Arabidopsis thaliana: one gene and its partner. The protein of the gene in region 1 purifies or fractionates together with the protein of each later gene. This does not show direct contact. Each region holds a gene or a part of one and is shown on either strand. Other genes may lie near its edges.

Evidence for each region.
Region 2: the proteins of AT2G47640 (region 1) and AT3G07590 fractionate together in Arabidopsis thaliana (co-fractionation; one large-scale study listed by BioGRID). This does not show direct contact.

Annotation. Positions count from the first base shown.
Region 1 is NC_003071.7:19,535,665-19,539,417, reverse strand, and holds AT2G47640 (Small nuclear ribonucleoprotein family protein), read right to left. Parts: upstream 2,245-3,753; 5' UTR 2,163-2,244; exon of another isoform or gene 2,158-2,162; intron 2,069-2,157; 5' UTR 2,026-2,068; coding exon 2,021-2,025; intron 1,914-2,020; coding exon 1,889-1,913; intron 1,559-1,888; coding exon 1,481-1,558; intron 1,291-1,480; coding exon 1,186-1,290; intron 1,104-1,185; coding exon 987-1,103; 3' UTR 668-986; downstream 1-667. Other genes in the region: UXS4 (UDP-xylose synthase 4), read left to right, coding at 262-354, 422-667; AT2G47630 (alpha/beta-Hydrolases superfamily protein), read right to left, coding at 2,507-2,887, 2,963-3,061, 3,140-3,277, 3,370-3,500, 3,618-3,753.
Region 2 is NC_003074.8:2,420,964-2,424,716, reverse strand, and holds AT3G07590 (Small nuclear ribonucleoprotein family protein), read right to left. Parts: upstream 1,667-3,753; 5' UTR 1,572-1,666; coding exon 1,558-1,571; intron 1,419-1,557; coding exon 1,342-1,418; intron 1,264-1,341; exon of another isoform or gene 1,128-1,263; coding exon of another isoform or gene 1,115-1,127; coding exon 923-1,114; intron 821-922; coding exon 759-820; 3' UTR 730-758; downstream 1-729. Other genes in the region: AT3G07600 (Heavy metal transport/detoxification superfamily protein), read left to right, coding at 29-417; AT3G07580 (uncharacterized protein), read left to right, coding at 2,056-2,105, 2,222-2,253, 2,689-2,835, 3,061-3,111, 3,284-3,336, 3,442-3,540. UniProt on the Arabidopsis thaliana protein: Involved in splicing regulation.

The sequences.
Region 1 (3,753 bases):
TCTCTCTATGATTTGATTTTGTGAACGGGATTCACTAACCTTGATGCCATAGTAAAATGGATTAGCTCTGTAAAGTGTGACATAAACTTTGGGGATGGATGGATATCAATCAATGTTATGGTACCAACAACGGATCTTTATTATACCATGTCCTTGTTTTGTTGAGCTGAAAAATCATGCTTCATTTTGTCTCTACGTATCCTTACATGGTTATTTATTATTGTGTACTGGTAAACTTGAGTGCAAAATATAATGTGATAGGTGGAAGGTCTGATGAGGTTGATGGAGGGAGAACATGTCGGTCCATTTAACCTTGGTAACCCCGGTGAATTCACCATGCTCGAGCTCGCTAAGGTACATTTTTCTCTTGTTGTTACATATAATCTGATCACTCAAAATCTTTGTATCTGACCCAAACGAGTGGATGGTGGGTGAGCAGGTGGTTCAAGAGACAATTGACCCGAACGCAAAGATAGAGTTCAGACCAAACACAGAGGACGACCCACACAAGAGGAAACCAGACATCACAAAGGCCAAAGAGCTTCTTGGTTGGGAACCAAAGGTGGCTCTACGCCAAGGACTCCCACTTATGGTCAAAGATTTCCGTCAACGTGTCTTTGGCGACCAAAAGCAGGATTCTTCCACCACTTCATCATCAACAGAGTAACTGTCGCTGGAGATTCTCGTTTCTCTTCGTTTTCATTTTTAATTTTGATATTTCTATTCCTGTCAATGTAGTGATATTGAAACCTCACCGATTTTAAAGTTTTATTTTTTTTAATGCAATCACCGTAGTTTTGAGCTTGGACATGCGAGCTGAACAAACAACAAACAAGGAACATGTCTTTAAAAGATCTTTAAAAGATCTTGTCAATTCGGACATAAACGAAAATGAGACGAATAACTTTAAAAGATGCTACTACCTACAAGAATTTATCAGTTTTAGCACAACAAACAAGGAACATGTCTCTAAGTCTCTCTTCCTCTCATTTTGGATTCCTGAGGACGATAATGACCGAGTCTCCACGTAGAAACATCTTGCTTATGAACCGATCTCTGTTCACCGGAAGTGCTTTCTTCTTGCCTTTCCCAGTTTTCGGAACCTAAACCAAACCAACGCCATCTCAGGCACCACAAGTTTTATATGTAGACAAAACTGATTTCAGGATAATGAATATTGGCTACCTCAGTCCACATCTCTCTGACATTTTCAAGAACCATGTTGCAGTGTCTGTCAAACGCCCTCACTCGCCCAAGAAGTTTCCTGTTGTTCCGGCAATTGATTAAAACCTGAACATAAAAAAGTTGACCTTGTTAATAACCTTTCCATTTTAACCACTCTTCGTTATACATTTCAATATTTCATTGTCTAACACCTAGCCCATGAAGGTCAAAAACATCTATCCATTTAATCAGTTTTCATATACAACATCATTATCTAACATCAGAAGCTCAATACATCTCCTAGAGATCTCTATACCTGAGTGTTATTCTTGACGCTCATCATAAGAACAGAGAGTGGCCCGGTGTTGAATTCCTCTTCCTCAGTCTTGCCCTGCTAAGGACAGTATCAAGCATGATGAATTAGAAACAACATTTAAGGAGAGAACACATCCTTAAGAGTATCATACAAGCAGGAAACTAATGGAGTTTATAACAGCAACAATCAAATGACATTACAACAAAGGGCAGAAGTGATGAAAACATCCAATTCTCTACTGCCCATTCAACGCAGAACGGAACAAAAATTCAGTGAAAATCTTTAGTGGCACAGTCCTACTCAAGTACTAGAGACAGCTAAGATTGATGAAACTGGAAACAGTAGATGAATTATGGCAAACAGCGAATCGAGAAAAGCAGTAGCGAGAGAAATTAGAAGGAAGCTTACATTGGTATCCTCTTCCATTGGCTTGCTGCGAGAAAAAATATAGAAAATCAAGAGAAACACCACAGTGTTAGACAAGTCTCAAATTGAGCACCACAAAATGCAGAAGAAACTTAGAACCATCGAGAGATATACCTCATGTTGACTTATCGCGAGCTTCTTCTCCACAAAGAATCACCGAACCTATCAAAGTAAAGGAATACGAAAGAGACTCAGGAAAGCAGAATTACAGATTTTCGCACAAGGAAAGATCGAAGAAGTTAGGGTTTTACCTTACCTGATAAATCTCGCTTTCGTTTTCCGCAGATCTCTCTCTCAGAGGAAGAAGAAGAACGACGACTCGATACTCGAAAGTACTTGGCGGACCGGCGCTACAACATAGTTAAGTTAGGCCTTTCAAATTTTGGGCCTTGTCAATTTATATGGGCTTTAATGTTTTTTTTGGGGGGCTTTAACGTTTTCCAAACGAATATAAATATTTTAGGTAGCCATAACTTATAAATTCTTTGGGCCATACATTTTCAAATTTCAAACCATGAGACCACCAATCTTTAATAATTCACACAAAATCATAACTCTCTTTTTCATAAATTGTTTTTTGTTTGCCTTGATAAAATTTTATTACACAGTGGATCGTGGAACCAAACGGCCACGGTTCAAACCACAAAGGAGATTGAAGAAGGGACGTTTAGGCCTCCTATGACCGTTACTAACGCCGTTAACAGTAGTTACCCTCTGGACGCTCGTAGTGTTACCAACTCGTATAGGAGTGACAGTGAGAGAGGCAGGGTCAGCGGTTCGAAGGTCAAGCCAATTGATGATGTCAGCAAAAACAAGGTCCACGTTACAGTCAGGCTCACCTGACGTCAGAGCGTGCCACATCCCTGGATACAACTTGAGCGTCTTGTCCCTTGTGCTAGCTTTCTCGTACAGAGCTTTGCTTACCTCTGGATCCGTCACTGTATCTGCTTCTCCGTGTAATACAAAGAATGGCATTGTTATCTGCAATATCATGTTGTCTTGGTCAGAAATAATGTCATAACACGGGATCAAGAACAATCAATAAGAGACATGAACCTCGTGGAGAGTGTCTTCTAGGTTCATGCTTGTCCTAAGCATCTCAAGTGCGGTTTTGAGCCTAGGCTTGTCTTGATATATCAGCTTGTTGTTCCTTACCTGCATTTACACACACCAAATTATTTACATATAACCAATTTCGATGGTGATCAGAGGGTTGGTATACACTATACAGACCTCTTCTCGCTTGACGAGGTCCTTGAAAGCAGCGTCAATCACGTCTTTTGTTGGAACTATTTTCCATTTAGGTATGATTTCTTCGACTCTAGTTAACAGATTAATCACTATAGGGTGTGGCTTCACCTTCTCAGATATCTGCATATTTAAACATAACAATATACTTTGCATTTCAATATTATTATCACCTACGACTCTGCAATCTAAAATTATAGTTGCAGGTTTTTTACCTTACACATTGGAGCAACTAGAATGGCGCCGTTCCAAAACAAAGGATCTTTTTTGTGAAGCAATAAAGTGACTGCGCCTCCCATGGATTCTCCATACAAGAATCTGCCTTTGTCCATGTACTCCTCTTGCGCTGGTGTCACATAAAATTAACCGGATTAACTTAAGGGGTTGAGAAAATCTCTTCTTACTGATAAACGGAGAAGAAGAGAGAGAGGAATGTTATTGTTATATATGTCAAATGAAATACCACAAATAGATGTGTAGTAGTCATAGCAATCATTCACAACATTCGCAAACTTCTTGATGTAGCAACGAGATCCCATGGACCTTCCATGACCTTCATAGTCCATACCAAAAACCGCGTATCCAGCTGAAGCCAGCCT
Region 2 (3,753 bases), on another chromosome or scaffold:
TCTAAAGATTTATCGCATTGGTTTATAGGCGTGAACGCTGTGGAAATAAAGGGAGATCACAGGAACCAGATTGAGGTGACCGGTGTTGAAGTCGATATGATTGCTCTAATCAACACACTCAGGAAAAAAGTTGCATTTGCGGAGCTTGTTAGCGTAGCTAAAGTTGAACCACCTAAGGATGGTGACAAAAAGCCAGAAGAAGAAAAGAAACCCGAAGAGAAGAAACCCGAAGAGAAGAAACCTGAAGAGAAGAAACCTGAGCCATGTTGTCAACCATGGCAAAAACCTGAGCCATGTTATCAACCATGGCCTCATGATGGATATGGTGTGCCATCTTCCTATCCCTACCCGTGTGATCCCTACAATCAGATCGGGGAACCCGTTTACAATCAAGATCCCAATTGCAGGATCATGTGAGATAGGTTTCATGTGGAAGATTAACGGAGGAGATAGCAGTTTTTCTATACTAAGATTGTCAACATGTTAATGCAATTTGATAGTCAGATTTGTTAAATGAATAAAAAGTCTTGAGCTATCAGTATCACACAAATTCTCTACTTGTAGATGCTCTTATAACATGTAAAGCCAAATCTTGTTATCCATGGAATTCCATTACAAAGTAACTCCTTACTAGAGCATCAATCATACTATTTCTCAATCAAATCTTTCCTTTGCCAGAGTTGCTAGTTACATAACTCGTACATTCTCCTAAAAATTAAACTCACAAACCTTCAACATGTTCCAGAGCGCTGCTACATCTAACGACCTCTGCCGCGACCACGCCCACGGCCACGTCCGCGACCGCGTCCAACAGCTTTCCCTAAAGAAGAAAGAAAGAGAGAACGAATAAATGGACTGATAAAGAAGTCTTTTAGCTTATGAAGACGAATATTACAAACACCAAAAATGAATGAAGCAGTACCAGCAACAGGCTTCTTAGGTTTAACTCTAGGAGTGTCTTCCACAAGTAAAGTCTCGAGGTTCAAGCTATCAGGAAGAATGTAGTAGCGAATATTATTACCCCTCAAGCTAAGATGATCAAGTGTTACTGGGTTTTTCCCCTTCAGGCTCATCTTCACTGTCTTCAAGTGAGTGTTCATGCTCACATCAACACCTGCCCAAATCATCAAGCTTAAACTTCAATAAATATACCTTTATGACTACTGGCTCTAACTGTGTGTTTACTCAACCTATTCATGTGATCACAAGGACGCGATTAGGGCCAATTGAAAATAAGGGAACAGATCGCGACTTGTATAAGACCTAGCAACGGAGAAATCGAGAGAGAAGAAAAGATGAGAAGAGCTACAAAGAAACCGGAAGCTAACAATAAGAACTTACCAGTGATGGTTCCATGGACCACAGTCCCATTCTTCAGCTCGATAGACACAGTTTCATTGTTTAACTTCATCAAAAACCTACTCGATCCAATCAAAACCATATAACACAAATCAGCTCAGGCTCAATATTGGGAATGGATTCCATGCCAGGAGCTAACTAAGATTAAGAACAACATGAATTTTCTAAAGAAAAGAAGAACTGAGAACGAAACAGTACCTGACGAGCTTCATCTTTGGATGCGAAGAAAGAACAACCAAACAAAGAAATTGACGAGGAAACAGCGAAAGGTGTGAAAACCCTCAAAACCCTTCTTTCGCTGTGAGAGACCTCACGATGGAGCGGGTACAGATCCGATTCCGGTTTTGGATCCATCAGCTAAATTACAATATTGGGCCCAAAAATGTAGTAAGGCCCATAAAGTCCAATGGTGGACCAGTAGATGTTTCAACCAGAAATCTACATACAGTTGGTTCAGCAAACCGGAAATTGAACACGAAACGTTAATTTCGGAAAGGCGTAATAAAAGCGCGCGAGAGGTTGATAAACACGCGTCGAAGAATTCGCGCGTGAAGATTGAACGACTTCAGACGAGAAGACGCTTTTCAACGTTCTCTATGCGTTAAACAGTTGACTGTTGACAGATCTCCTCCGGTAGAGAGAGAGAGAGAGAGAGAGAGAGTTCTCTGAAAAAACTGCGTAAATCCTAACTCGTCAATGGCGGATTCGAGCTCCAATCAGAATCGATACACTCCTCCTAATCAAAGGTAACTTCTTCTTCTTCTTCTTCAGTGGTCTTTGATCTGCTGATTTCGAGTGTTCTTTATTCTACTGATTTCGCTACTCCGTTCTTACCTTTCGATGTTGCTTCTCCGTGTCACAGGAAGGCTTCTGGGAATCGCCGGAAGTCGGGAGGTATGTGAGCTCTCTCTCTCTCTCTCTGTCTTCTTTGCCTCAGTCGTTCTTTATTGATTCTTAATCAATTCGGTTCTTAATTCCGAGAGTATCTAGTTCTGTGGAGATTATAGCTTAGATCAAAGATTGTCGATGAATAGAAGTAATCTTGTTTTGTAGATTCAGGAATTGATTGCATGCGAATCTGTACACATTGTGTTTGTGCATAGTTGGTAACTTCAAGAACCGTTTCTAAGAAAGTGAATTATTAGGAGTTTAGCCTGAAATTCAGATCTCGCTCTCTCTTTATTAGCAAATCCGCTGGTTGATTCATTTCTCCATGTGTGTACTTGACCCATTTGTTTGCCTGTTTTCTTGAAAATAAATCGTCGTTCAAGCTATATCTGGTTTTGCTAGTATGCTATGGTTCTTGGCTAAATAAAGAGTGAAATGCAGATCGAACAAGTAGCCAACAGAACAACGATAATGAGAGAAATCAGCCTCCTGCTACTGGTCTTCAGATGGAAAACATATCCCAGACCCAGAGGATAATAACAATAAAGGACTGCTCCAGGAGTGCAGCTTATCAGCTCATGAGCCAACGTATAAATCTGAACTATCTCTTTAAACATTTAGCTGGTTTATTCTTTGCTCTGTATCACTATCTGGTCGTTCTTCTATCAACTGTTGCTATGCTAAGCATTTGTTGAGTCAGTGCTAGTTTTAGAAATCTTTGAACTTAATAGATAAGGTGTGTTGAATTCACTGCTTATGCAGTCAGTTTTATGTACTTGTCTTATTTACGTGCTCTTGATTTGTCATGAACAGGATGGGCAGCTGAAATGCATCAATACGACGACCCAACTGTGGATCTATCTGGTGAGATTAAGGGATTCTAAGTTTTCCTTTGTCCTTTGTGTCTATTATACTTGTGCTGCTTGAGTTGCCTCCAAATACAATCAGATATATCTATGTTCTTATCTGGATCTCTGTCTTCCGGTTAGTCAAGTATAACTGATTTTCAAGTTTGCCTACTTTCTCTGTTTCACAGTGCGACCAATCATGTACTATGGAGGGAGTGTTTGGGGTAAACTACCTCATCAGGTGGAACTAACTTCAAACTCTTATCATATGCTTCTAGTTTTTCTAAAGATGTGAGTACATGAATGATGAGACCCCATCTCTTGTTTTGTGTCAAAACAATTACAGATCCTGGCTGCAGCAAACAAGACATTACCTCCTCCATCGCCAACGGATTACATGACTGAAGTGCGGCGAGGATTGCTGATGCCAAAAGCCAACAATTGAATGGTTCTTGTTCAGATGATGGAGCCCATATAGACTAGTGAAATGGTGTTTGTTGAGATGGCACAAGCGGTGGTATGTCAATGACTTTTATATTGTGTGTGTGTAGGATAACAGATATTGCTTTTGTCAGGATCGGTTGTTTTCTCTGGTCCCTGAAAGTGTAAAAAACCCAAACCAGAGATTTGAGTAACAATCACGTTACCATCTCATTTT